2 linked regions of the Rattus norvegicus genome follow. Each later gene encodes a partner of the first gene's protein in a complex. Links are inferred from orthologs where the notes say so. Each region holds a gene or a part of one and is shown in the gene's direction. Other genes may lie near its edges. The genes, in order: Adat3 and Adat2.

Region 1 (16,651 bases):
TTGGGAAGAGGAGTCAGTGATCTTAACCTCTGAGCTATCTCTCCAGCCCCAGCCTTGAGTTTTTTAAAACAAAATCCCAAACCTTCTATTTACCAATGAAGACTCAGGAGCCAGACATTGAGGTGAAAGCCTGCTCACTGAGACAGGCAGAGAAAGCAGCCAGATGACCCTTTCCCTTCTCCACGATGTCTCATGTGCCCTTTAACGCAGAGACTCTCCTCTCTCGTTCCTGGGTTCGGATGCTCACTCTGGTCAGTGGGCTGCTGGCTCTGCCTCTTGACCTATATTCACTTTACCTAGCCCTTGTTTACAGGAAGCTCTTGGGTTAAAGGTGTGTGCTAGGGCTGAACCACACCACAACAAGAAATAGGTTTTTCCAGTTCACACTCTGGGTTTACACCGTGATCAAATATCCTGCAACACAGACTGGTCTCAATCTAGTGTTCCTCTTGCCTTGGACTTCTCAGTGCTGGGATCACAGGCCTAAGCCACCACCTGAGATCCTTTTTCCAAATTGCAAAGCAGGCTCCAAGCCCTGGGTATCACAAGTGCCCAACTGGAGGCTGTGCCTTGAAGACAGCTGCATTTTGAGAGTTCCTATCTAGATGTGCCCAGATCATGGGGGATTTCAAGGGGCTGGGAGTGGGATTCTTCCTGTAGAGACTGGAGAGGCAAGGCAGGAAGTGAGGGGTCATGAAGATGACTGATGGACTGGAAGGGGAGTGCAGGGCAGGCAGAGGACCCTCCAGCTGCTTCCCTAGACCCAGGATTAGTCCTTCCCTCAAACCCAGTGCATGAAATCTATGCCCCTGTATTTTTGTGATCAAACCAAAGGTCTTTCACAAAACAGGGAAGAAATCACACTGAGCCACGCCTCCCAGCCCGTCACTGGGGGATTCTAGGCAAGGCTCCAACCCTGACCACAACCACAGCCCCTTACTGAGGAATTCTAGGTGGGGCTCCATGACCAAGCTCTCAGTCCTCTTTGAGTTCCCCTTCACCAACGTCCCCATTTTTTTCTGGAATTCACACTGTAGATCAAGCCTCAAACTCACAGAGATCTATCTGCCTCTGCCTCCCAAGTGCTGGGTTTAAAGGTGAGTGCCACCACTGCCTGGCACATAAAGAAATAAACAAACCGAAGTAAAAAAAAATTAAAGGATAAATAGGCTTTAGGGTGTGCCTCAGAGGTAGACCTCCTGCCCAGAATCTTCTGTGCAGATAGAAGGTGACCCTCTTCCTCGGGATAAGTAAACAATTACCTGTTCGTTCGCTTCAAACAGGGACAGTCACAGCCCAAACCAAGGACACTACCAAAGTCAAGCTTGGTGAACCATTAGTTTTATTGGGGTTATTTGCAAGAGTATGGATGGTGGACTACTTAGAGTAGCAGAACAGACTCAAAGCCCAATCTGCTACCCTGCGCAGGAAAGCTGGGGACCTGGAGCGCACTGCACAGCCTGCAGTCAGCTCAATAGGTTGGAGGGGAGAGTGTCCCTTACATTCAGTTAAGCTAGTCTCTGCCTGTTCTAGGCATGTCTACTAGTCTAATAGTGTCCCTTAGCAGTTTTTAAGGCTTATATAAGCTTGAGGAGGGAGGAGCCTAGTGAATCTGCTCAGTTTCAGGGACTTCCTAAGCTACTAAAGACAACTTCTTTATTTTTATTTTATATGTATTGATGTTTTGCCTTCATGTTTGTCTGTGTGATGGTGTTGGATCCCCTACAGTTACCTAGCAGGTACAAGCTGACACATGGTCCTTTTAACCCCTGAGCCACCGCTCTAGCTCCCTTGCATAGCATCTCTTAGAAAACTTGTTTATTTTCATTGTATACATATGAGCGTTTGCCTGCATATCTATCTGTCTGTGTAATATATGCCAGCCTATCCAGGCCAATAGAAGGCATTCCATTCCTTATAGCTGCAGTTATAGATGGTTGTGAGCCACCATGTGGCTACAGGGAATCAAACCAGGGTCTTCTGGGATAATAGGGTTCCCCTTTGGCAAGCTGCCTCTCCAACCCTGGCAGAGCATTTTGGGGGGGGGGGCAGTTCTGTAACTTTGACATTCAGCAGTTAGTTCTCATCCACATTGACCGTCTGTAGATTTTTGAATGTGGTAACAGGCACAGAAGTTACCAGTGTGTAGAGCTTGTTTGATGAATCCTCATCCTCATTACGCTTTCTGGACAAATGTACTCCGATGTGGTATGGAACATTCCTTAACATTCCTTATTCCTTTGGCCCAGATGGCTTTATTCAGCCTGGTGTCTATGGGCACATCTGGAGTCCCCATCTCCTTCATGGCAAATTTCCGAATTTCTTTGAGAGCCCGAGGAGCACGCTTCTTGAAGCCCACTCCATGGATGCGCTTGTGAATGTTGATGGTGTATTCTTGGGTCACCACCTCCTTGATGGCAGAATGGCCCTTCTTCTTCTCGCCACCTTTCTTTGCAGGCACCACTCTGCCGGGCCCAAGTTGGAAAAGCCTGGCAGAGCATTTTAAAAAATATTTATTTTATGTAAACTGGTACCTTGCCTGCATGTATGTATTGCCTTGTGCCCATAGAGGTCTTGAAAGGGCACTGGATTTTCTGGAATTAGAGTTAGGTATGGCTGTGAGCACCTAAGGTGCTGGGATCTGAACCTTCGTCCTCTGGAAGAGCAGTCAGTGCTCTTAACCACTGAGCCATCTCTCCAGCCCCCATGGTGGCTTTTTTTTTTGTGGTGACCCAAACCCTTGGTTTTCCTTCCAAGACCCTTGGTTCACATGGCTTCCTGGAAGCCAGATACTGCACAAGGGTTCTAGTTTTGTAATGCTGGCCACATCCACACAAATCTCCCAAATTATCTGTCTTGCAAGTGGCCATAAACCAATCCTATGGGACCTACTCTGCTCTGATAGCTGGTCACAAGACACTCCTTATTCCAGAAAGGTTGTGTGTAGTAGACAGACCTAGAAGATTGCAAATAGGCTGATCCTGGAGACCCTGGGCTCTCTGACGCCACTTTCCACCTTCCTGGCTGGTTGTTCAGCCAGACTGTCTGCTGTTTATGTCTCGATTTCTGAGCCCCAGAGGAAGAAGGGCCCTGGGAGAGACTCAGGAACTCTGGCCTGGGTATGACTTTTTAGGCAGACAAGGCTACACAGTGAGACTATGTAAAACAATTAGTAATTAACTAAAAGTATTAATGTTAGGCCATCTCTCCTGCCTCTATTACTTGTTCATTTATTTTCTTTCGTCTTTTTTTGTTTGTTTTTTGTTTTTTTGAAGACAGGATCTCCTTTTTCAAGACATGTTGTCCTGGATATCCTGGGACTCACAGAGATCTGCCTGCGTCTGCCTCCCAAGTGCTGGGATTAAAGGCCCTCACCCCAACCACCTTGAACTTCTGATCTCTTGTGTCCACCCACAGAGTGCTGGCATGACCAGCTTGTGCCATCAGCTGTGCTATGGATGGAATCCAGGGTCTCCTGGGTACTAGGCAAACACTCCACGAACCGTGCTACAGTCTCAGCGCCAATCTTATTTTTTATTCAGGAGTTCACATATTTGTTTCACCCATTGTACAGATGAGGAAAATGAGGGCCTCGGACCACAGTCACCTTTCAAGCAGTAGAAGAGATTGTTCAGCACCAACATGGGACTTTACAGAAGTATGATGGCAGATGCTCTTTGAGTGACTATAGACGGCCATAGAGTCTCCTTCTGCCTCAAGTCTTCTTTCTGCTGATGTCTCGAAGTGTCACGCAGGGGTCGAGTTCACTGCAGCACACAGGAGAAAAGTCCCCAGACTCAGCAAGGCTGGGTGAAGCATTCACGCGCACGGCCTTAAGGGAAATGTAGTCGAGGCTCTGCCGTCATATCTCACAGGCCCCGCCCATGGAACTACGCTCCCGTCGTGCCCCGCGGCAGCAGGCGTGGCGGCCCGGTTGCTAGGACTAGGATAAGCGTGGCGTTCGCGCGGGTGTCCCTCAGGTGAGCAGCCGCCGTAAGGGTTCGGCTTCCGCCGTTCCGTATCTGACATGGGGCGCCGGGGATGGCGATGAGGAACGGGCGGTGGACAGGGGAAAGAAGGCCTTGTCCGGGCAGCCCGCGTTGAGTACTAGTGTTGCGTGCGTCCCGGGAGGTGGTGGGGGTGCGCGTGCGCTCGCAGTCAACGCTAGTACGCGTGCGCACAGGGCTTTGCGCCCACCGCGCCCCACGCCGTCGGTTTGCGGCGCACGCGTGTACCCTACTTCTGATTCCGGAAACCCCGTGATTTCCAGCTGCTTCCGGTTGTATGTTCCGGGTCATCACAGTCCCCTGCCTCAGGGTTATCAGTTCACCATCTATACGGCAGGTGTGCAGTTTCCCTTTAAGCTCTGGTACTTATGGGCATTCTTGAGGTATCTTTGGTGGTACCAGGGATCGAATCCTGGACTTTGGTTATATTAGACTGGCACTGTACTATTGATCCACGTCCGCTCCCTTCAGAAGCGAATTCCAGGAGCTTTGCTTATTTTTATGCCCAGCCCCTCAGTGAAGGATTCTGGGCAGGGGCTCTACCCCTGCGCCACACCCTATCCCCTCACTGGGTGATTTAGGCAAGGGCTCTACCCCTGAACCAAGCTTCAGCCTCTCATTCTAGGATATAGGTAGGCTCTCCACTGCTGAACTCTGCCCCGAGCCCTCTTTATTTTTTATTTTGGAAGGTTTTGCTGGCCGAAAACTCAACATCTTCCTCTCTAGTGGCTTATTGAGTGCTTGGTATTTCGGGCCTGTGCTTCCAGACCTGATGCAGTGGTGCTGTTTCCTGCCCCTTGTAGCCAGTCTAGCCATGGTGACCCTGGAGCCGAGGCCCATTATTTGCCTGCAGTTGTTCATTGCAGAGGGAATGAGGTTCCTTAAAGGTGGCTTCCTAAGCCTGTGAGAGTGTCTGGTGGAGGGGAGGTCCCTGTCTGTGGCACGAGGAGCCGCTTTCAAACCTGTTCCCATGCTGATGAACAGTAGGCACCTGTCACCTAAAACAAGGGAGCCATTCATGCTGGTATTCACTTCTGCCCCAACGTGAGTGACCTGGTGACCAGAGGATGAAGCTGGTTTCACGGTCTCAAAACAACACAGGAAAGCAAACATACAGAATGGGACTCTATAGCCATGAACACGAGGGGCTACCATCCTATAGTTATTAAACTCCCCAGAGGTCTGTAAGCCCAGGCTGTCTGTTCCCAAGGCAGCAGCCTTCTTTCTGTGTCCCCTGTTGTAGTCTTGATGGGACAAACAAGGCTGTGTCTTCTGCCCTGGAAACAGTGGTGCTTTGTGGCCCAGGCAGGCTCTGTGTGTCGTAGGCGTGGTGTATACTCTGGGGAGGCCAGCTGTCCCCATGCCCCTCATGGGCTCTGCCTGCCATGGTGATACCAGGCTCTCAGACACGCTTACTTGATGCTGTTCTGACTTCCTAGTCTGAGGGCTCCAGGTTGCCCCTGTGATCCTCTAGTTAGCCCATAGAGCCATTCAGTGTTGATCTATGCAGCTGGGGTGAGCCCTGAAAGCCAACGGATGTACCAGAGTCCATCTCCATCCGTGGGTCCAGCAGGGTGTGGGGGTGATGTTGGGTAGTGTAGCCAAGCCCACTACAGGCAGGCAGCAGGTCACCTCATAGGCACTTCTCTCTTTCCTTTTAATTTGTTTGTTTAGTGCTCCACATTCAACTCAGGGTTTAAGCAGGACAGACAGATTCCTACCATTGAGCTACACCCGATCCCCTCCTGGGGGTATTGGGGATTCTAGGCCTGCTTTGAGGATTGCTAGGCCTTATTGCCAGTGGTTAGCTGTCAGGGCAAGGTGGGGCAGGTTGTCAGCCGAGGCGAAGATTTGAGGACTATGGATGGCGAGAAGGGTCAGCAGCAGAGAACCAGGTCCTTCTCAGATTTGCTATTTTGCCCTTTTTTTTTAATTAATTAATTAATTTATTACACCGTACTACTCAGACACACCAGAAGAGGGCATCGGATCCCATTACAGATGGTTGTGAACCACCATGTGGTTGCTGGGAATTGAACTCAGGACCTCGGGAAGAGCAGTCAGTGCTTTTTTTTTTTTCTTTTTTTCGGAGCTGGGGACCGAACCCAGCTCTACCACTGAGCTAAATCCCCAACCCCGTAGTCAGTGCTCTTAACCGCTGAGCCATCTCTCCAGTCCCATTTTGCCCTTTCTTAGCTGTGCCTGAGCAATGAGAAGCTCCTGAGGCCTGAGAGGATTCCCAAAGCCTCGCTCGCTCTCACTGGCTCCTGTGTGTAACCAAGTGGTGGTGATGTCGGCTGTCACCTCAGCCCTCACTGGCTTTGGGGAGCCTGAGTTTCCCCATGTGTAACCGGTGGTAGTGTCGGCTCAGGGTTTACCGGGCTTGCACAGCAGGCCGTGAGCATTGTCTGAAAGCTCAGGTCCCATGGATAACTAGGTTCCCAGGCTAGCCCACTGAAACAGGAAGTGGGCTAACTTGGACAGGCCATACAGGTGAGCACAGGTCCACCGTGGAAGCAGTTCATGGGCACATGCCTTCCTTTCTTGGCAGGGTCTGCATTCTAGGGAGCATCTTAGGCCTGCCACCCACCTTTTTCTGGGGTACAGAGGATTGAGATGGGGTCTTGCTCTGTAGTTCTGACTGGCTGGCCTCCAGCTTACAGCCGTCTTCCTGTTTCTGCCCCACAGGTTCTGGTGTGTGCTACCAGGTAGACTGCCATAGCATGTCCCATAGAAACCACCTGGGGTCAGGTTCACTGTCAGTCTAACTATGTGTTTTGGGGGGTGATTCTGAACCCCATTCTCCATTTATATATTTTCACTGTGTAGAAAATGGGACATTTAGCAGCTTGGCCAGAGCCAGGATCTGCGTGCACACATCCTCTCTCTGCAGGTCTCATCTACTCAAGGGTCCCATGAGTCTGTTGCAGGCCTTCCTTCTGACTATAGGTCTGAGGACTTGAAGCCAGCCAGAGCATGTCAGCAGCTGTTCTGGGTTTTGTTCTTTTGTTTTTGTTTTTGGCTAGAGACAAGGTTTCATGTAGCCATTCATAGGGCTGGTTTTAAAATCACCATGAGCTGCTGATCCTCCGACCTTCACCTCCTGGGATGACAGGGTACCACCAGGCCTGGTTTACTCGGGCCATGTCTGGAAGCCAGGGCTTTGTGCATGCTGCTTGAGGTGGGTTTTGGGTTTCATAGTAATGAATGCCTGTCTCCACACTGTCCTCAACATGGCGTCTGTTGGGTGCATGTGGACTTGTCAGAGCCCCGAAGAGACCGGCATGGTTTTTCCTTATGTGGCCGGGGAGTAAGCCAACTCTACCTGGCGCTCTGGACTCCTCATTCCTGGGCCTGGCGGGACCCACGGCATCCCAGGACAGACCCCCGCCCCACTGAAGCTGACGGATGATGCTCCAGTCCCATCTCTGTCTCCCACAGTCGAGCCCCGCTGAGGATGGAGCCCACCTCAGGCTTTGCAGAGCAACCTGGGCCTGAGAAGGTTGAAAGTGAGGAGCAAGAGCCGGCGCAGTGGCAAGCCCTCCCTGTCCTGTCGGAGCAGCAGTCGGGGGCCGTGGAGCTGGTACTGGCCTACGCTGCACCTGTCCTGGACAAGCGCCAGACGTCCCGCCTCCTCCGGGAGGTGTCTGCTGTCTATCCACTTCCTGCCCAGCCCCACCTCAAACGGGTGCGCCCCAGCCGCAGTGCAGGCGGTGCGCACTCGTCGGATCTGCTGTTGTGCCTGGCCGGGCCGTCCGCGGGCCCGCGCTCGCTGGCCGAGCTCCTTCCGAGGCCGGCCGTGGACCCGCGCGGCCTGGGCACACCTTTCTTGGTGCCTGTGCCTGCCCGGCCGCCCCTTACCCGGAGCCAGTTTGAGGAGGCGCGGGCCCACTGGCCCACATCCTTCCATGAAGACAAGCAGGTGACCAGTGCTTTGGCCGGGCAACTCTTCTCTGCGCAGGCTCGAGCCGCCATGCAGACCCACATGGAACGGGCAGTACGTGCGGCCCAGAGGGCAGCCGCGCAGGGGCTGCGGGCAGTGGGTGCCGTCGTGGTGGACCCAGCCTCGGACCATGTGTTGGCCACAGGCCATGACTGCTGCAGCGAAGCCAGCCCCTTGCTGCACGCCGTCATGGTATGCATCGACCTGGTGGCCCAGGGGCAGGGCCGAGGCTCCTGCGACCTCAGACGCCACCCAGCTTGCTCCTTCACACAGGCCACTGCCACTCAGAGCGCCCGTGCTGGTAGCGTGCGCAAGCTGGACGAAGATAGCCTGCCCTATGTGTGCACCGGTTATGACCTGTACGTCACCCGAGAGCCCTGTGTCATGTGCGCCATGGCCCTCGTCCACGCCCGTATCCAGCGTGTCTTCTATGGGGCGCCCTCACCCGATGGCGCCTTGGGCACGCGCTTCCGTGTCCACGCTCGGCCAGACCTCAACCACCGCTTCCAGGTGTTCCGCGGCATCCTCGAGGACCAGTGCCGCCAGCTGGACCCCGACCCGTAGGCCTCGTGACCTTCTGCTTCTAGACCATTCTCTGCTCCTGGCCAGCCCGCATCCCCTGCAGCTCCATGGCCTTGGGCCTGGGGTCCCGCCCTCTGTGTCTGAGGACACTGACCACCTGTGCCAGACTGTGGGCCTCTCAGTTTCGAGACTGCAGCTTCTCTGGTGGCTGCGACACCGTGGGGCTCTGCTCTGCTTGCAAGCCCAGTGGCTGCCTTAGAGTCCCCGTGGTGGTCCTCTAGGCTCGGGGCAGGGAGCAGCCATCGAGTGTGAAAATAAAGCACCTCAAACCAAGTTCCCATTTGCACTCAGGTGCCAGGCTGGGTTTGACGTCTGCCTCAGGCTATAGCTTGTGAAGGGAATGGGCAGCCCTGCTGAGTGCGTCCAGGGTCAGAAACAACCCAGCAGGTGCCCTTGCCTGTCCCTGGATTCTAAGGTTTCGTCTGTGTCTGGGTGCCTGTTGACCTGGGGTCTGTTCATGGCCATCCTGTGTGCCTCTTCATGAGGGAGGGGAGGGCAGGCGCTCCAGAAGGATCGGTCTAAGTGTGGTGCCTGCAAATACCAAGCTGCCCTCAGGAGCGGTGGCAGGGTTGGCTGTGCACCTTCTGGCCTCAGACAGGAAAGGCAAGGCCCCGCCTAGAGCAGAAGTGAGGCTGGGGTTCTGTCTGCATCTTCAGAGTCCTTCTAGCCTTCTTCCTCTAAGGGAAAGCAGTGCTCTTCTTGGGAGCCATGCTTCAGTAACCAAGAGGCAGGGTGGGACAGGAAGAGGCTTTGAGGCAGGTCTGTGAGCAGCCCGACCTGAGGCTCTGTGGGACTGTGGTACCAGTGACACCTGGTTGAGCAGGGCCTGAACTTGGAGGCCAGGGTGTCCCGTCACTTCCTCACCTGAAACGCTGTGGGGCTGCGCCTGGCCCATCTTGAAGGTGGCACTTAGGAGCAGAGCTACTTAGGAAAGTAGCTGATAGGTGCCCCTGGGCCTGTCCAGGCTCCCATTGAGAGCCCACAGGTGAGTTTCACACCCAAGCTGGAGCCTACCACATGGCAGGGAGCTCTGTTCTGGGTGACTCGATAGGACAGGAGTACTGAGGGCTGTGTCAGCAGGCTCTGAAGCCATCTGTGAGGCCACTGAGACTAGGACATCTTGGCTCTAAGGCTATGGGTGACATCAGCTGGTGGCTTGGCCTGTCCTCTCCGGGTGTGCTCTGAGAAGTGAGGTCCAACCCTGAGCCAGCAGCAGGCTGGCTGGCCTACGCATCGGAACCTGCAGCAGTGGGCTGGGTGAGGCCTTCCTGGTCCCCTGGCTACCAAGTCCCTAATACAAGTCTTCTTTCAGGTGGCCCCTTCTGCCTGGGTGCCAGGTCAGCTGACACAGAAATGGCAGGTGAGTCTGCCCTGCTCTCCAGGTAGTGTCCCCCACGCCCACTGAGACTCCTGAGCTGGTTGTAGAGCTGACCTGGCCTCCCTGGCTTCCGCCTTGGGACACCTTGGGTGCTACAGTGGGGCACAGATAGGCCACCAAAGAACCATCATCCTCCAGCTTGCAGATGTGGGGCGGGGGGTAAAGCTAGAGAGCTTAGAGAACTCTGCCCACTACTCTAGGGGCTATGGAAGGACCGCTGGCGGTCTACCTCATTGGTAGCCCATTGCTAGCCCAACAACTCCTGGACACTGAGTGCAGACTCCAGGGCCTTTATACTGACTGTGGCTACTCTCTGGGGCCTTCTTTTCCTCTACTCCCCCAAACACATGCAGTGCTGGTATGTGATTCTGTCTGCAGCCCAGAGAGTGTCTGGCTGATCCTGCAGGGCTATACCTGAAGTGGGGAGGGGGCTCTGTCAGGCATTGGCTGTCGGGCTACCTGGGGGTCTCCTTCCTACAGGAAAGGAGAACAACTTCCCCCCGCTGCCTCACTTCCTGCCGCTGAAGCCCTGCTTCTACCAGGACTTCTCTGATGAGATCCCGGTGGAGCACCAGGTGCTGGTGAAGAGGATCTACCGGCTGTGGATGTGTGAGCCTCTCCAGGAGGGCGGGCAGGTGGGCGGGCCACCCTAGCAGTGTCCCCACCAAGTGCAGCAGTGTTGTGCTCCTTGGGACGTTCAAGACCCTGGTCCCTGCACGAGGCTCATCCTTAATGTCTGGTAGGGAGGGTCCCTGGGCTTGGCCTTTTGTCCCAAGTCTCATACCTGTCCCCTGGGACTCCCCTGGTAACTGACCTCCTATTCCATCTGTGTCCCCTCCAGTTTACTGCACCACGCTGGGTGTAAACCTAGTGGCCTGCCTGGCCTGGTGGATTGCGGGCGGAGCGGGTGCCAATTTTGGCCTGGCCATGCTCTGGCTTGTTCTCTTCACTCCCTGCAGCTATGTGTGCTGGTTCCGGCCTGCCTACAAGGCCTTCCGGTAAGCCTGGTCCAGGGGCCCTCAGGCCACAGGACCTCAGACCCACCCTGTGGGGCGGGCATGCTGAGAGTTGGAGGTCCATGGAGGTCCTGGGGACCTGTTAGGAAGTTGTCTCCCACTTATCCAGGGTAGGTGGCCATTTATGTCACAGTGACCACAGGCCATCGCCACCACTGTCGATGGGATGGAGCCCAGGGTGTGAGATACTAAGCAAGCAGCTTGTGAGCCCTCCTTCTCTCCCTCCCTCGATTCTTTGATGTGCAGTGTCACTGTGGGGAGGTATGGTCACAGGCTTGTACACAGAGACACACGAGTGTGCATGTGCCATGTCACTGCTGTAGCAGTCACAGGACAGGTGAGTGGTGGGATCAAAGCCAGGCTGTCGTGCTTGGCAGCAAGCACCTCTATCCTAGTTTAAGTTTTAATAATGGCTTTACTGAGCATTGTGTCGTGCACGCACTGTGGTTTCCCGGCTACTGAGTACCTCAGTGTTGGAGTGCTGTGGTTAGCTTTAGTGCTTGCTTCTAGAAGATTCTATCACCCCAAATGCAAACCAGCCTCCACAATTCCACTTCCTATCTCTAGATTTGCCCGTTTTGGACACTTTCTAGTATGAAGCCACAAACGCGTGTAGCCTTCCGTGCTTGTTTCTCGTGTGCCAGGGCCTTGCTCCTGTTGGGGCCTCACAGTACTCTAGCCTGTGGGTAGATAGACCCTGCTGTGTTCACCATCTGTCCATGCGCAGATGTCCTCAGCTGGCTCATCCGAGTGAGCTGTGTTTGCTCTTGTGTGGTGCCTGAGGTACAGAGTAGGGAAGGCCAGGAGGGCTCCTCAGTGAGACCGATGTCTGCTCAGCCAAGTCTCCATAGCAGGAGCACAGGCACACCTTCCACGCCCAGAAGTAGCCCGAGGATGGCCCTTCACTCTCATGGTGACAAGGCGTTAGGCAGTCTCCATGACGCTGGGGCTCCAATCCTCCCTGTGGCACCCCAGGCTGAGTGCTTGGAGGAGGGCCGTGGTTATTTCAGGCCATCAAGGACAAGGGAAGTGACACAGTCCTCCCCCTGCTGGGTCCCCCCCTCCTCAGGGAGTGTAGGTGACCCGGCATCTTCTGTCATTTGCAGAGCCGACAGCTCCTTTAACTTCATGGCATTCTTCTTCATCTTTGGAGCCCAGTTTGTGCTGACTGTCATTCAGGCCATCGGCTTCTCGGGCTGGGGCGCGTGGTAAGCAGACAGAGGGATGCGGTCTCTGTATGCCTGTGTGAGAGTCTCCCAGCATGGGTCCAGGGCTTGCCCCTCGGAGAGAGGGCGCCCTCCAGTACCTTAGGAGTGTGGAAAGAAAAAGGCCTGTGCCGTGAGCCACCAGCAGGGGGCGCTGCCCAGCTGCTCCCAGGCCTGTTTAGAACACCTCCTATGTAGCTTGGCTGGCCTGGAACTTAAAGAGGTTTACCTGCCTGGCTCTCCTGAGTGCTGGGATGAAGGCATGGGCCACTGGGTCTGAGTGTTCCTTTCTTCTGTGTGTCCTAGTCAAAGTTCATATAAGGCCCCCAGGTGTCCTCTTACCTTTCTCATGAACCATGCTCCCCCACCCCATCCCTGTCACCCATGCCATCACCATGGCGTCAGTGCCTGCCTCAGATCGGCAGGTGGCATTCTCAGGTTGGATGGGCTGTACCATGGGGATACTGACACACACACACACACACACACACACACACACACACACACACACAGGCAGGCACATGCTGGGCACTGGGAACAAGTCTAGGAAATTGCCTCCAGCCTGCAGTCCCTACCAAACAGATGACCCCTCACGCGTGGCAGAGCTCTGAGTTCAAGGACAGCCAGGGCTACACAGAGAAACCCTGTCCCAGACAAACAAGGGCAAAGTCCCGTATCTGTTTTGTTTGGTTTAATTTTTGAGACAGGGTCTCTAGTAGCCTAGGCTGGCCTGAAATTGTATACATACACAAGGGTGACCTTGAGCTCTTTCCTCCTGTGTCCCCTCCTGAATGCCTGAATGACAGGTATGTCCCACTGAGACCCACCAATTTGGTCTCTTAAGTTTTAGTTCAGGGTGCAGATGCCATCCTGATCTGTAGGAGGCACTGAGGCCTTGACATAATGTTTCCTGTTCGCAGTGTATTCTAGGAACTGAAGCCTGCCAAATGGTTAAGTTTTCTGGGTAACCCTCAATTTGGGTTGACCAGTCACTTTCTGGTCCTTAACGGAACCTGGCTTCTTCAAAGTTTTATTCTCAATAATCTGTTGGAGCTCAGTACATATGAAGGAGAATTGGCCTTATTTACCGATTCCTTGTTGATTTGTCAGAGCTCTTTGCATATGGAGGATAGCATGCCCTTCTCCATGTGCTGAGCCCTCTCTCATCTGCAGTGGTTGGCTGGCCACCATTGGGTTCTTTGGGACCAGCGTTGGGGCTGCTGTGGTGATGCTGATCCCAGCCATCATGTTTTCCTTATCCGCTGTCGTGATGGCCATCACTATTGTGAAGGTGAGTTCTCTGTGCTCAGTCTCTGTCCTAAAACTTCTTTTACCTCATCCTGTGGGCATGAGTTACACAGAACACCCCATGTCTTCGGCTGCAGGCTGTGATGGGGATCTTGTTTCCTGGGAATTCACAGGGTTTGTGGGGGACCCATGGCCTCATCCTAGAGGAGGACAAGGAGTGTCACTGGCACCAATGGTTTAGGCTCAGGAGCCTTCCTGTGGGGAGGGTAGGAGGCCTCCGCAGGCCAGCGAGGTGACCTGCAGCAGACATGTGCCTCCAGGGACAACATGGGTCTGCCATGGACAGCTGTGGGGACAGAGCTGCCTGCACGGAACAAGATCAACCTTTTTTTTTTTTAAGATTTATGTATTATATATAAGTACACTGTCGCTGTCTTCAGACACACCAGAAGAAGGCATCAGATCCCATTACAGATGGTTGTGAGCCACCATGTGGTTGCTGGGAATTGAACTCAGGACCTCTGGGAGAGCAGTCAGTGCTTTCAGCCCCAAGATAAACCGCGAGCGCGCATGCGTGTGTGTGCGCGCGCGCGTGCATGTGCGTGCATGCGATCTGGTTTGTGGGCATGGGTCCGGGCCTTTCTTTTTTTTTTTTTCCGGAGCTGGGGACCGAACCTAGGGCCTTGCGCTCGCTAGGCAAGCGCTCTACCGCTGAGCTAAATCCCCAACCCCGGTCCAGGCCTTTCAAATGTGGAGGTCATGTGCCACCCTGCCCAGCGCAGAGGCACTTTTCCATTCCTGAGGTTGAATGTATAGCCTTGAGCAGCTCAGGCCTTGCAGCGAGGCCTGGGGTCTTGGAGTGTACAAGATGGCCCATGGCGTCCTTATAGTGTGTGTGTGTGTGTGTGTGTGTGTGTGTGTATATGTATGTGTGTGTGTGTGTGTGTATATATATATATATATATATATATATATATATATATATATATATTATATAGCCCTGCTTGGGGTGACAGGATCACTCTCCAAGTGCCAGAGCCACCCTGTCAAGCTAGAGATGGCAGGTGTCCCTGCATGGGCCACCTCACTTCCCAGGCTAAGAACTCTTAAGAGGATTCCAAACACAGAGAGGCCAGGCGAAGCACACAAGGCCACACTTCGCTGGGCAAACCTGGAAGGCCAGGCTGGCCAAAGATGACCTTGAGCTTCTGATTCTGCCTCTAACTCCAGAATGCTGGGATGACAGCTGTGTGTCCCTGGTTTGTGTGGTGCTGGGGTGGGTGGGGCCCAGGACGAGTGCTCTCCACACTGAGCTGTACCCCAGCCCAGGGCTTCATTGTTTAGCCTTGGCTGACCTGGGACTCACACAGGTCCCCCTGCCCTGCCCCTACATGAGCCCACCTGAGTTTTCATTTATTTCTGAGACAGGGTCTCACTATGTAGCCTTATCTGTCCTGGATCCTCTTGCCTCTGCCTCCGGAGCTCCAAGATTAAAGGTGTGCGACCTTTTAAATAACAGCATCTGTTTATCCCAGAGTCACCTTCCATTGCTGCTTCACTGAGTCTCCGCTTCCCAAGTGCAGAGATGAGGTGGGCACATCCATCTGTCCTATGCCACCATTGCTGTCTCCCTCGAGGGCCATAGAAATACAGTCAGAGATCACACAAGGTGTCACAGTGGGGTGGCGTGTGCCTGCTTGTTGAATTGGGGTGTCCTGTGGGCTATGGAGGCAGCAGTGTGGAGATGAGCCACCAGGTCCTGCACTGCCCTGCAGTGTCACTCAGGGTTCACACTGGGTCCCTGTCCCTGCCAGTGCACTGACTTTTCTCTATCCTTGTCCCTGACCGACAGGTACACAGGATCTACCGTGGGGCTGGCGGAAGCCTCCAGAAGGCACAAACAGAGTGGAGTGCTGGCACCTGGAGGAACCCGCCGTCCAGGGAGGCCCAGTTTAACAGTTTCTCTGGGAACAGCCTGCCTGAGTACCCCACTGTCCCCAGCTACTCAACCAGTGGAGGCCAGTGGCCTTAGGCGGCTGGCTGGCCCCAGCACTATGCTCTGTCTCCTGCTACCACCCTTGATCTTGAGGCCTGAGCATCTCCCCAGGGTCCCAGGAGGTCCTTGGCCCGTCCGTGTTCATCTCTTGTCAGACCCTAAGCAAGCACTGCCCAGCAGCCACTGTCCACTGCCATCCTGCGAGCCCGGCTGTGTTTGCCCTGCTCCAGCCTGCGCAAGGAGAGGCCTCAGCCCCCAAGCCCCTGGCCTTTGTTACGGAGATATGTGTAACTAAGCCCAGTGCACGTGTGTAGATGAGTGTGAGTGGACAGTCAGGAGTGTGGCGGTTGTACCTGTGTCCTCTGCCGTCCACTATACCCATGTTCCTCTGGGTCCTGCTATGTCCTTGTCCCACCCCTTGTGACAGTGACAACCTGCTGTCCCTTCCAACACCCAGGATCCTGAGTAGAGCTCTGCCCACTTGCACTTCACTTGGTCAAGGGTACTCTGGCCTCTCTGTGGGCAAGTGGAGGAGAGGGACCAGCTCTGTTGCATGGCAGGCCATACCCCCAGCAGCAGGATTGCCGGGACACCCCTGTGCCTTAGAGAGACCTGTGCTTCCTCCCCACATCCTCTGCCTTCCTGGGCAGCTGTGGCCTTGGTCAAGAGAACCGAACTGAGTCTTGGAGTGTCCACAGCACCTCTGATGACACTGGACTCAGTGTTCTTCCTTGCGACCTGATGCTACCAGCCAAGTCACTGAGTCCCCAAGGCCTCCCTGCAGGGCCATGTCCTCATGTGCCAGTATCATGCCAAACTGTCTGGGCACCTGGTCTCTATCCCATCTCAGAGTGGCGGGCATGGAGTCACGTGCCCGCCATAGGTGACACCTGTGACCTACAGCTCTTCCCTGCCACCCCTGGGTATGTGCGCCCACATGCCATAGTTGGTTTTGTTATGTGAGAATATTCTGGAAATAAATTCTCTTTCTGCAGCAGGGCTTCTATCTGTATAGGAAGGCATGCTGTGTGTCTGCAGGATTGAGCCTAGAGGTTGACCTTACCCCCTGCTTTCTGTTGCCATCCACCTTGCTCTTCTGAGACTGGCTGGCCAGTGAGCTACAAGAATCCTCCTGCCTCTGCCTGCCCAGGGCCAGGATCCTAGGCAAGTCCCCCATGTTCTGTGTTTACCTGGATGCCAAGCATACATAGTGACACACACACGTCCCGAACGTAAGACTTCAGGGTTATCCTGGGCTACGTGACAAGCTGAAAGC
Region 2 (13,448 bases), on another chromosome or scaffold:
CCTTTTACTATTTTGTGAAAACTTGCACAATCATCTGAAGCAGACTTCACACTCTCTCACCACTCACTGACATGTCCTCAGTAGCACCGCATGTTCAAGGTGATTTTTAAGTCCACGCGCCGAGTGTCTATGTGCCAAGCATCTTATGTGGGGAATCTCACTGTCTTCTCACACACTACTTCTCTACTTTAAACAGGGACTAGCTATATGGCCCTGCTGCCATCAAACAGTCCTCCTGCCTAAGTGTCCCAAGTGCTAGGACGTGGATCAAACTCCAGGGCTTTGTGCGTGCTAGGCAAGCACCATCACCAGCTGAGCTATATCCCGGGTCCTTCACAATACATTTCTGAAGGAAGTTTTATAAAGGTCATTTTACAGGAAGAGCTGAGGTTCAGATTAGCCCAAAGAACACAGATTATACAACTTAAACTGGAAACTGATCTGGTGGTATCAGCCTCCCGAGAGCCCCAGTCATCCTGGCTGTGCGCATGCGCTGTCATTATGGCCAGTACTTCTGAATAGGGTTTCACAGAACCCTATATAAACCCAAAAATAAACTCGCATATAGCTGTGAACTTATCTTCTCTTTGACCTTAGCTTTTCCTCTATAACGTGAGGTAAGTGAGCTAGCAATAAGGTCCTCTCGGATCTAGAGAAAAGCCTACTCGTAGAGCGGAATGAGATACACTGAGCTTTGTAAATTCCCTCTAAGGTAGCCTTTAAAGAAATGTCAGAGAGAAAAAAACAGGCTTTAAACAGTAGAAGGAGCAGACTTGACGTAGATTTGAGAAACTGGTTTTCCAGGCATCACCCCAGTTAGAACCTAACTCCTTACTCTCTTCAAACTGAGCAGACTGACTGTATTGTGGCCTTTTCCCAGTAGGTTTCTGGCTCTGGTAGTTACATTATTACCATTAATTAAGTGATTGAGCAGACACTGTCGCGGAATGCTTATGTCCTACAGTGTCCTGCTGGAGACCTAATAGGCTTTGGGCTCTGTGCTGTGACCTACGAGGCCGCATGGGTGGGTCAGGCCTTTCTCCACAGCTTTGCTTCCTAGCACTCATCTGCTTTCCCTTGCTGCAGTGCCTGTGTGCTGTTCTTGTAATGTTTCTAGCATGTTCTCCTCTCAGGCATTTTCTCTCCATATTGTACCATGAGACTTTACAGCACAGGCCATCTGGTCAGAGGCACGAGCCCCCGACCACACTCTGCAGAGGTGTCCACTCCTCCCAGCTTTCCTTTCTGTACTGGGTCCACTGCAGCCTAAGGTTACCTTTGTGCTGTTTGCTGTCTTTCCACTAGAACCTGCTGGAGCTCAGGGGATCTTACTCTGTTTACTGCCTACTCACTCAGGGGCAGGCACTGTGAATATCTGCTGAATGAATGCATAAGTGAGTATTTATACGGCTTTAAAAATTCACGTGGAAATTACATATCTCTGTTAACAGGACTATTGGGTAGGTTTATCACACGTTCCTCATCTTTCCCATACACTGGAGCCTGAGGCTATGAATTAATACAAACCAACAAGCACTTTAACATAGATACATATATGCGTCTGCTTACCTGTCATATTGCAAGTCCTCTGGTTACTTTCAAAATGGTACTGTCGCCGAGCTTGGGCAATGTACTCTGCAGCTTCTCTTTCTTGTATTTCTCTAAGTTTTTTCTGTCCATATTTTCCCAGGATATAGACTCCTAAAAGTCATTTAAAAAACAAAACAAAACAAAACAAAGTAGTATATTAACTGGAGTACTAAAAATTCTAACCAATATTTTAAGCACTTTTGATTAAATCATGAGGTTGATACTAGGGACAAGCTGAAAATACAGTTTCTAAAAGACTTTTATTAAAGAACTGAAAAGGGAAAGGAGATACAGTGTTTACTTATATATTTATTTATTTATTTTACATGCATATAATATATTTTAATATAGCTAGTAAAAAAAGAAGACATTAACAGACAAGAAGCAGAAAGGCATTGGATTTATAAAGTCTGGCAGCATCTTTAATAGTTAATTGAAAATATTCTAAACATTCAGCAACGGAGGGTTATTTAAATAAATTATGATCTGTTCACATAATGGTATCTTATGTAGTTATTAAAAACCACATTGCTAAATAGTTAATGAGTCGAGGAAAGATCTACCTCATACTATTAGGTGATAAAATAACATCCAGGAAGTCTGTGTTTTAATGGAACAGATACACAGAAAAGTACATACTTAATTTCTAAAGTAAGATAAACTGTGATAATTGCGATTGTGTTTGCTTTTCTATATTTTCCATGTTGTCGTCAATGGCCACATAACTTTAAAAATCTCTACAGTAAAAGATTTAAAGGAATGAGAGAAGGGTATATCGTCAGGAAGACATGCATTTATCCACCCCTGTATTAGAAAAACATCTGAGAAAATAAGAAAATATAACTTACGCTGTCTACAAACTACTAATTCAAATGACAAAGGAAACAGGAAGACAGCACCGTAACACAACGGTGTAAAATATGGCAGGGTTGTGTGGTCTTCAGCACAGGATGTAAGGGGGTGCATTTTTGTCATCTACTGGGTGAGTGGCCATTGGTTTTCTTAACTGGGAATCTGATGAGCATTCAGTGTTAAACGTGGTGAGGATGCAGCGGCAGTCGAATCTCCTTTATTTTGGTCAGTTCCACACATGTAACAGCGCACTGAGATCACAGTCACCACTGCCCTGCTCCCCACTCTCACTTCTCTCCACTCCTGTGCTCCACTACTTTCCTCAGGCAGTCCCCCACACAAGATGGCTTGTTTTAACTAACTATCTCGGATTGGCATCAGAGGGTTTACTAAACAGTACAATGGATAGCAGAAGTGGATTCACGGACTATTTCAGTAAGCGTTTAAGAACTTGATGAGCTGAAACATTTTAGTACCATTTCTATAAACATGGACGCAAGGCCTTTTTCCTCAGGGATGGCTTAACCTGGAACCCAGAAAAGTCCTCCAAATCCAACAAGTTACAGCAATGACAGAGTTGCCTTTGTTTTGGGTACATGATTTTGTCATAGTGCCAAAGGTCAGAATTCAACAAGCTTATAGAAGAGGCTGTGTTATTGTTTCATTTTTGTTTGCTAATAAGTATCAATGTGTGCCAGAGCTTGATTTCATTATAAATCCTAGCAGCAAGGGCTCAGAGGGCTAACCATCATTCATTTATCTCCTCTGTCTGGGGCTTATACTATCTCCTAAAAGGCCTCAAGAATTATGCCTAACATAGTTGGATTAGGTCTGTTTCTCACAAGCAAGGACAAGGTAGACATCAGGAGCTGCAAAGCAAATATATCCTAAATTATTTTCACTAAATCAGATGTTGTGGATGATTTAAGATGTTATGTATCTTTAGATGGTTCCATAAAATTGTGTGCTGAATAGGAATAGTATGGTTGTTGTTACTACACATACAAATACATGCATTATAATTAAGCTCCAAGAGCAAAGAGAAATCAATAAATGCTGTTCATTGGCTGTCTTTTCTGTAACATCACAGCAGCACAGCCATTAGAATAAGAGAGGCATATGGGGCTCATGCCCATAAGTCCAGTTGAGGCAGGAGGGCTTTTTACCATTTTGAGGGGAACCTGGGATATACTGTGAGAACCTATTCCCCTTCCCTCACCACAAAGATCCCAAGAGAATGAAGAAACTGACTTAAATTTAGCAAAGTGACCCTCCAACAGGCAATTCTGGTTCACCTAGTTCTGAACATACTGCTTGTACCTTATCTCCATAACATATTACTGAAGGTTACACACACAGTGATTATTATCTCTCAAGTTATGTTGCAAAATGAATCGTTGATGTGACACTCTTTACTTGGTAAGTGCAGTATATTCTAGCTAAAGCTAGAATGGGCTTAATTGTGTGCACTGCTGTCCCGTGCCACAGGCTGATATACTGAACCTGAGAACAAAAGGTCAATACAAAGTGAGATCAGTGGGCCTCAATCCCACACGGCCAGTCCTGAGAGGAAGGTAAAAGGTAGACAGAGATATGTACAAAGGAAAGACAATTTGAAGGCTTCTGGAAGTTCTCTGTGGCTTTCCAGCAGTCAGTATTCAGTTGCAGAAGCCAGTGTGAAACAAGATGGCCACCACATGGCACAGCCTAGTAGGATCCCTTTCACAGGACGGAAGGAACAAACCCACAGACACCTTGATCAGGACTATTAACTTCAAAAGTATAAGATGAATTTTAGTTTTGTAAGTTTCTCACTTGGTAGGTTTCATTATGGAAGCCCTAGAAAAGTCACACATGAAATTGGGCTTAAGTCCTAGACAAACTGTTTTTCTTGAGTTAGCACTGATATTTCGAGTCAAGGTCTAGTTCACTTAGGATCTCATATATAAAAATCACAAACTGACTTCTTCTAATGTTTCTCTAGGAAACACTAATGAAAGAAAGAAAACTGCCATTAGCTAAGACAGACTTAAGACTGCCTCCGCTTCACTGGCAATGTGACGTGAACCAGCCAGCTGGTGAGGTGACTTGGAGCAGGCAGCTTACTCCTCTGCATAGACATCTTTTTCATGTGTAAAATCAAATAGCTGTAAATTTCCTCTGTAGTATAGCTACAATAATCTTCATTATTAGCAATTAAAATATCTACTAAATACCAAAAAAAAAAAAAAGCGAAAATGTTTTGATGTTTCCTTTCATGGCCAGTTAAGCAAAATATCTTTGTATAAATCATTTGTTTTAAAACCATCTCTTAGTTTTGTCTTCCAGGAGAAAAGTTCCTATAGCACAACTACTTTCAATAACAATTTGAAAATAATCCATCAACATTGCTTCCAATCAAGCAGATTCCCAATTTCTAATGTTTGCATTCTATTTCAATCTTTTTTCAGTGCTGAGTAGTGAACTTGTCCATTTGGTGACATCTCCATTTCAGCATTGAGGCGTTCCTGAACTATACTCTACACCTGAAGAAATAGAATCTGAAGGAAGGAGTCTATATTTTTCTGAAGCACTTTAAATGGTTTTCATCCATAGCAAAGACTGAGAAGCAAGTGCACACAGATCCTGCCCGCATTACACACAATGGCATAGTAAGGAAGGCATTCACAGTGTGGATTACTTTATTTCCATGTATGCTCTCCAGACTATAGCCCAGTAGAGTTAGAGTAGGCCTTATTCTTGTTCAAACGGAAAGTCGATAAATGACAAAAAAAAAAAAATCCCTAAAGAGGTTAAAAATTCCAAGGCTTAAGATATAACTCCATGTTCTGTGCTTTTAAAAAATCACCAGATATTAAGTGGGAATCCAGTTCCTCTGTTCTGTGACACTTTCGCTTATCCAGTGGTTTTCAAAGTATGGTCCTGGCATCCCTGGGGTCAGTTTAGGGATCCGTGAGGTCCACAAATATTTGTGTCATACTGAGATGTTGGGACTGGCATCCTGAGTGTTCACTGGAGGATTTTAGTAGCTATTTAATGGGAGGCATCATACATGACTACAGAAGGGATGAGAATTTAGCTTTCTTCAGTTAAGCCAAACTAAAGACCTTTGCAATTGTAAAATAATGCCATTCTTCTCACTAATTTCCAAAAATGTTTCATATTAATATTTAATAGGCTTATTGTTGTTACCTTAAATGAGCTAATACCTTTGGTTTTAACCTTAAATTCTCAAGTAGATATAGAATTCAGGAGGCTGTTGGGGGGGGTGCTCTTAATTTCTAATAGTATAAAGATTTCCCATCAAACAGTTTGAGAACCACTGTTCTTCTCCCGCCTCAAGCGGTCTAACTGTGTGAATGGACAAGCAGCAATTACCATCCGAAATGTAGGGAAGAAGGAATTCTGACTTTAGAAGCCACACAACTCAAAGTTCTGCCTTGCTGTGTTTTTCCAGCACTAAATATCTCTTTTGATCATGCATAATAACACTTTAATCAGCTTCCAAAATGTGTCACTCCTCTTATGAAATCTGCCTCATTTTAAGTAACTCCAGGTTGCTGCATACTACTGGGCTCTGTATTCAACTCTACCGTGGTCTGTAAACAGTATTTTACTTATCTCTTCATTCTTTAAACATTAAACAATCTGCTAAGGCAGAGTAGTAGAGTAATGAATGATAATATGTGTTGGGATCTAACACACTTGGGATTGAATTCTTATTTCCTTATTAGTAACTCAAACTCTTAGCAAGTTTCTTAGGGTGTGGGAACTCTAGTTTCTACATTTAAAATATGGCCAAATAATAAGTATCCTGCTGTCATTTCCAGAAGTTGGAAAGAACTTAGTATGCTGTTCAACATTCAGTGAGTCTCTAATAAATATATGATTAAAAATACATATATTATACCTATTCAATCATACTGTCCCCAGCAGTATAATCACTTAATAAATATTTCTTAAAATGTAGGATAGGAATTTCCTCAAAATACAGAAAAATATGAACTCTGTACAAAAAAAGGTTAAGTTCAGCTATTTCAAAACTTTCTATTTTGCTAAAAACCAACAGTGTTTCCACTACACCTCTGAATCTTTCCCCCTCCCTTTTGTTGTTGTTGTGTTTTGTTTTCTGTTTACCTATTTCTGTTTTTTGAGACAGGGTCTCATTATGAAGCTCTGGGTATTCTGGAACTCACTGTATAGACCACACCTCCACTCAGAGAGCTGCCTGCCTCTGCCTACAAATGCTGGGATTGAGGGTGTGTGCCACCACTCCCAGTTTTTTCCCTTCCTCTTAATCTCCAATTATAAAGCTCTCAATAGAGTTTCAAAAAAAACTTATTACTTAACCACATACTCTTTAATTTCTCCTATGACTATTTCTGATCTGTCATTAACTGCTTCATAAACCATAAGGGTTAGGCTCTCTTCTCTGAAATTGCTAGGGACAATTTTCTTTACTTAGGTAGAGCAAAAATTTTTCTTAATATGTCTTCCATGACACATACGACTTTATCTTCAACATATGTATTCTACAATATGGGTACAATTTATTAGAGAATAGAGGTAATATAAAACATATTTTATCTATAGAATATTTCCTAAGGGTGATTATTAACTATTAGCCATTTGTGCTATACCTTAAAGATATGCAGAACATGGTCATTGCCTTATTAATGATCTAATATTTTAAGTCACTTTATGATATAATTTAAGATATATATATATACATACACACACACATATATATATAGTGATAACATTTCTTAAAACTTAATTTTTTTAAACTTCCTTTTTGTGTTGTTCAAAAGATTCCCTTCTTTAAAGACCTTTAATTATGAACTGAGGGTTGTCTTACCAAGACAAAGGGTTTAAAGCAGTGTGTGTGTGTGTGTGTGTGTGTGTGTGTGTGCTGCTAGTTCCCTGGGATCCAACGCAGTCAGCCTAGGCAAGTGCTCTACCACAATGTTACAATTCCAGCATCATGATATTTTATCCTAGGTGTTTCTAACTTTCCTCTCAGCCAGTGAACTCAACTGTATCACCAAAAAGACAATGACCACAACCTTGCCAGTCCTGGCAACACTGCAGAATAACCCAGTCAAGCATTGTGTTGATACATACTTTGTATTTTAAAATTTGGGAATGGAGACTATCTACTGTATACCTTACAGCAACATGCTGTTTTTAATGTACCTTTAAACACCGCATCAAAGAGCAGACTTAAGCTAATTGCCCTAGAATATTTCGAAACTCGTGTGAAAGGTTGAAAGCAGAGTTGACAAACAGAAAGAAAAATCTATCAGGAAGGCAAAGAAGAGAATTGGAAGGCAATGTATCTATACGAGAATAGTGCTTTGAAAATAAACTTCATTGGGGGTAGATTCCTGAAGGCCCGTGAGGGAAAAAGGACAGGGTCAGAATGAGGGGTAAAGGGCACAGAGAGGGAAGATAAAAGAACTTTTTGACAGTTGGGCCAATCCCTTCGACAAATCCAGAACTACTATCAGGGGGCCCTGTCTGTTTTATGTCACCTGTCACTCCTTTCTGCCAATGGCCCCTTCTAAAACCGTGTTGTCACTCACCTCCAAGGACTGTGCCCAGGAAGATGCATTTCTTTTTGTGACGTTTCAGAAAATTCCACATTGATCTCAGCATCTTCAGACCCCGGGTTGTGTGGGTTGCCTAGGGGAGAGGGACTGGCTCACCAGGAAACCGTGTCTTCCGTCAATCTGGCCCGGATCTCTGGCAGAAGCGAGGTGGCGGCGCTAGGTGCTCTTCAGAAACCCCAAACGTTTCTTTGCGCAGAGGCTGTAGCCAGAGCGGAGGAAGGGGGCGTGGACTACAGCGGAGCAGCAACGCTTACGGTCCCCTAGCCCCGGCTTACTGATCCGGACCTGGGTCCGTCCGCAAATAGCTCCCGGGTGCCTCGCCCTTTTCCGTCTTCCCGGAAGCAAGGGCCCGCGCCCGCCGCGTTCCGCTGTCCTCTTTCCTCCAGTCCCTTGGCCCGGAGTCTCTGAGAGAAGGCGATATGGAAGAGAAAGTGGAGTCCACCACTGTTCCAGACGGCTCGTGCGTGGTGTCCGTACAGGAGACCGAAAAGTGGATGGAGGAGGCGATGCGAATGGTGAGGAACCCGGCAGGTGGATGCCGAGAGTGCAAACTTTCTCCCGGCCACATCCTGACCAGAGTAGTTTGAGCAAATGTGCCTGGCGCGCTTTCTCATCACCATTATATATGGGCTCTCAAAATACCTGAAGCAACAGCTTGTTTTATTCTAGAGGAATTTTCTTTAGCTTTGTCTCATAGTAATTGGAGTTGAGGGAAATTACAGAGACTGTTTGATTGATGTGTAGTATGTATTACAGGGAGCCTTAGCTGCTGCCTGGGGATACGTACTACCCAAATGCCTACCTTCCTTTCCATGTGGACACATATTTTCCACATTATTTTATGGCTTGCTCCCGACGCCCTTGAACATATATAATGGAAGGAAGCTGATGTTTCTGGAAGAGGGTCATATCAAAACATACCCCAGTATAATCCTCACCGATGATGTATTTACGCTTTCTATAGTACTTTTCTCTGCCCTTGTATTTCCTTCCCGCAATCCCTTTAGGATTGCTCATTATGGAGGGCCCTGGTCGTATTTACATGTTTTTCCAAGCTTATTACCCATATTGATGTGCGGCAAGGATATATATGTATGTATGCACAGTCTTTCTGATGCTGGGTTTTCATTCTGTGAACATCATGGAATTTGTTTACATCATTGTGAAGGCCTTAAAAACTAAGCTCAGCCTTTGATGTAGGGATGTTATTTTTGCTTATTCGTTTACAAAATTGAAATTTTCAACGTTTCCTTCTAATGGTTACGGAAGTTCACATTGATAAGAAATTAAAGTCTAGAACATTTAACAAATTATGTAAAAGTTACTTAAAAGCCCTGACCTCAGAGATAGCCCTGCTGATATTTTGTAAGCACCCTTCATATATTTCTGTCCCTGTGAAAACAGAAACATGCTCTCCGCCCCCTCCCCCAAAATAGCATAATTCATTCTTTTTTTTTAATTAACCTTTTTTTTTTTTTTGGTCATTTTTCTCAGAGCCTGGGGTGGGAGGAAGAGAGCCTTTATTCTTCTGTTCTTGAGTTGAGAATTTGTTGGTTTAAGGAAGACCAAGTCGCCATTTCCATTTCAGTGGAAGAGCTTTGACCTCTTCCAAAGAAGGCTAGCTTCTTAAGTTCAAAGCCATGTACCCAGTTAGACCTATTTTGACCCAGCTCTTTTGCATTTGTGACAAGAGAAAGGGACTAACTGGAAGAGTTGGGAGGGGCATTGGAAAATCTGAGATTGGATGTGGGTTTTCAGCTTCGAGTTTTGAACTTGTCAGTAGAGGAAATGCATGCACATTTGTATGTGTATGTGTACTGGGAAGCAATTCCTCTAAATCGACCTCCACAGACCGCTTTCTTTGGGCGTCACTTTCTCTCAACTGCCACTCCATTTGCTCAGCTACTCCCTAGCATCCTGGCCTACAAGTCGTGCCTTATCAATTATGTTCTATGTCTCTTTAAGGTAATCCTGTCACTTCTAGTGAGATAAATTTTGCTGGAAGGAAAAAAAAAAAGAGAGGACCCAGAGGCACTAGGTACCAAGAAGCCCAGTACTCTGTTGACCTGGGAGCAGAGAAAGGCTGCCAAGACAAGCAGTGTTCTGGAGCATGTCGGATGCACTGTGGATAATGCTTTAGGCATTCCCTACCTATGTGCTTCCTACCATGTTGGGGAGTTTTAAAATAAGTTATTATTTGTGCATGTGTATGTGTGGAGAGGGTGCATCTGTGTGTGTGCTCGCATGTGTCTGAGGACTACAGAACAACTTTTGGGAGGAGAGATATTTTTCTCCTTCCACTGTGGGTTCTGGGGATGGGACTCATCCTCACGCCTTCACAGCAAGCCCTGCTGAGCCATCTTGCTGGCCCAGTCTTTGATTCTCTTCTGTATGTTCGGAGCTGCTCTTGGCATTGTATCTCCTGACATCGCATTCAGTGGTCCAGGATGCAGGCTCACCAGAAGCCTTATCGCGCATCCCTCCCTCTTACTACTCCCTCTCCTCCGAACCAAAACTCTGATGAAGGGTCTAGTCAGTGAAGCCGAACGGGTTACTAAAGAGGCTTCGGAGAGAGAGAGCGATGCAAAGAACCCAGCACCTGACACTAATAGTTGTTCCAACTATTAATGGAGTAATGACTTTTATTCCAGATGTCTTAGATGGCTAAGTTATTTGACCTCCCTGCTTTGGTTTCCTTATCCAATGATGCTCAGTGCCCCTATCACATTCGGATTATACACGAAAGGAATTTATAGTTACAAAATGCTCAAAATAGTCCCAGACCAAACCATGCACATGCGTGCATACACACACACACACACACACACACACACACACACACACACACACACACACACACACAGCTAGTTAGATTTTCAACCTATGCATCTTGAGATGTAGACATGGCATTACCTCTTAAGAGTTCTGTTGGGAGGTACAGTGGAACACTGAAAATCTGAGCCCTGGGAAGTCATTTCTTCAAGCCATTGCTTTTCATTTCCGCCGCTCCACCTGAAATTCCTCTGTCTCGGCCTTGACACCACTGACACCGCCTTTCTTTTTGGCCTGCATTTTCCTAGGGTCTTCTACACAGTCAACAGATCTGCCTGACTCTTCATCAGTAGGCTTGCTACATCCTTCTTTAGCTCAGTTACTGACTTTTCCCTTTTACATAATTGTAAGCCACAGGAAACTGCAAAAAGTGTGCACAGAGAGGGCCCAGGCATTCAATGTTCTTCAGTGTCACACCTTGTCTAACTGTTGCTTCACTATCAGAACCAGGGAAATCTCATTGGAAGACTCTGAAGAACTTATTAAAGTCTCATCAGCTTAGTGTGTGTGTGTGTGTGTGTGTGTGTGTGTGTGTGTGTGTGTGTGTGTATGTGTGTGTGTGTGTGTGTGTGTGTGTGTGTGTGTGTGTATGTGTGTGTGTGTGTGTGTGTGTATGCGTGCGTGCAACATGGATCATAGATTTTTGTGAATATTTATTTTTTTAAAAACTTCCAATGTATTTTCCAAGTTGGTGTCATCGTTACATAAAATATCCCTAAATTTCCATGTGTCTCTTAGAATAAAAGTTGTGGGAAAGAGTGACATCCAGTCTGATCATTTTTATGGTATTGATACTCTATGGGATCATATCTACAATCTTAGAGAAGCTTAAAAGAATTAATCAAGTAGAAGTTTATCAAGGCAAAGTATTATAGCCAAATATTTACACATGTTATATATTCTCCCACCTCTTTGCAAATATGGGTATCATCTCTGAGAAGGGGCGGCCTTGGTATTTTAGGAACACTGGTCAAAAGCCATTGATTACTCAGACTTTCGGTGAGAGAAAATGAGGCGCAGGACCTGGGAAGGGAGACATCCCTGAGTTCTCCTTAACACAGACACCCAGCAGAGAACACAGCACATCACAGTCCAAAGACACCAGCGTTGAGACGGGGAAAGCACAGCTGTGTCTGTTTGCCCAGGTCATTGTCCACCCCTCGGTTCCCACTGCGTCTGTTTTTATCCACAGCCTTCTGAGCGCTGAGCGGCACCTCTCAGCTTTTCCACTTTGTGTTTCAGGCCAAAGAAGCACTCGAGAATATTGAAGTTCCTGTCGGCTGCCTCATGGTCTATAACAATGAAGTTGTGGGGAAGGGAAGAAATGAAGTGAATCAAACAAAAAACGTGAGTGGAGCACTGAGAACACAGAAGCATACTATGGCCACGGTGGGGCCAGTTGGCAAGACAAGAGCCAATGTGTCCTCTGGGGCAGTTCCCTGCCCCGCCTCCCGCTTAGTGTGTGTGTGTGTGTGTGTGTGTGTGTGTGTGTGTGTGTGTGTAGGCTGTGGAACAGTTCCTGCTGTCCCCCTCCCATATGTGTGTGTTTGTAGTGTGTGTGCGAACGCTAGTGCGTGTGCATGAAGGATGCAGGTTGAGGTCAAGATGTCTTCCTCTATCACTTTCCACCTGGTATCGTGAGGCAGTGTCCCTCCCTGCACCGGGAGCTCATCAGTTCAGCTCAGCTAGCTGCTAGCAAACCCTAGGGATCCCTGCTTTTCCTGTGTTCTGCACTGGGGTTGTCTATGGAATATATGGCTGTGTTTGGGTAGTCTCATGGGTTTTGGAGAGTCTAGATTCCCGTTCTCTTCCCCTGAAAGCACCTTACTTAAGAAACCATCTCTCCAGCCCTAGATCTTTTCTCTTCCTTTGTAAATTATTATTTTTTTCCCTGATTGGAACAATGATGCAATGACTTTTGTTTTGTTTTAGGTATCAAATTTTCAGAAAAGTTAAAGGAAACTATAAGATCGTAGTAGATAAACTTGCCATTTCTGCATTTGTGACCTTAACCAAAAGCTAACAAAGGGTTACATCTTTGGAATTTCATTATGTTTTCTTTTAACACTTGAGCGAAACAAAAGGACTTTTGTTACATCAGAATATCAGCCCAGAAGAAACTAGTGCACCTTGGTAACATTCAACCTGAAAGTTCACCTTTGCTTTGCAAAGCTTCTGTTTCTTTAAGGTTTTGTTTTGTTTGTTTAAGGGGGTGTCAAAGAAAGGCCTTCAATGTACAAATGGGAGGGTGAAGCATAAAAGGATTACAGTAGAGGAAACATTTTCCTTTTTTTTTTTTTCTTTTTGGTATTCAATCAAACAAGCCCTCCAAGATGAGCTGTCCTCAACCACCTGTGTTTCAGCCTTGATAATTTGGTGTCATTGTGCGCAGACTGGAAAGTTCGTTGTTTCAAACAATGCTTTTTTTTTTTTTTTTTTTTTTTTTTTTTTTTTTTTTTTTAGCAAACAATGCTTCTTAACGGTGACATCCAAGCGGTGTGTCACAGTGGACACATCTGGGAAGTGGAAGTAGGTGAAAGTGCCGTGCAACATTTTATGGTT

Evidence for each region.
Region 2: the proteins of Adat3 (region 1) and Adat2 are in contact, whole or in part, in a crystal structure (PDB 9HMM), measured with the Mus musculus proteins. The link is inferred for Rattus norvegicus from reciprocal best matches to the Homo sapiens genes ADAT3 and ADAT2. Residues at the interface, in NP_001094076.1 of Mus musculus: Val217, Ala218, Pro220, Leu221, His223, Ile229, Asp230, Ala233, Gln236, Gly237, Glu270, Ser272, Pro274, Val276, Val290, Met291, Met294, Ala295, His298, Ala299, Pro311, Asp312, Leu318, Phe319, Val321, Arg324, Asp326, Leu327, Asn328, Pro349; in NP_080024.3 of Mus musculus: Val62, Asn63, Lys66, Asn67, Ala68, Thr69, His71, Met74, Ile77, Leu81, His85, Pro91, Cys107, Ile108, Met109, Ala112, Ala113, Leu116, Met117, Arg130, Phe131, Val137, Leu138, Ile140, Asp144, Leu145, Pro146, Asn147, Thr148.

Annotation. Positions count from the first base shown.
Region 1 is NC_086025.1:9,751,912-9,768,562, reverse strand, and holds Adat3 (probable inactive tRNA-specific adenosine deaminase-like protein 3), read left to right. Parts: upstream 1-7,435; 5' UTR 7,436-7,464; coding exon 7,465-8,514; 3' UTR 8,515-8,805; downstream 8,806-16,651. Other genes in the region: Scamp4 (secretory carrier-associated membrane protein 4), read left to right, coding at 9,886-9,892, 10,391-10,519, 10,752-10,908, 12,033-12,134, 13,305-13,422, 15,232-15,411.
Region 2 is NC_086019.1:9,766,297-9,779,744, forward strand, and holds the start of Adat2 (tRNA-specific adenosine deaminase 2), read left to right. Parts: upstream 1-8,383; 5' UTR 8,384-8,473; coding exon 8,474-8,569; intron 8,570-10,934; exon of another isoform or gene 10,935-12,031; intron 12,032-12,128; coding exon 12,129-12,233; intron 12,234-13,448. Other genes in the region: Pex3 (peroxisomal biogenesis factor 3), read right to left, coding at 1,570-1,701, 8,028-8,100. UniProt on the Homo sapiens protein: Probably participates in deamination of adenosine-34 to inosine in many tRNAs.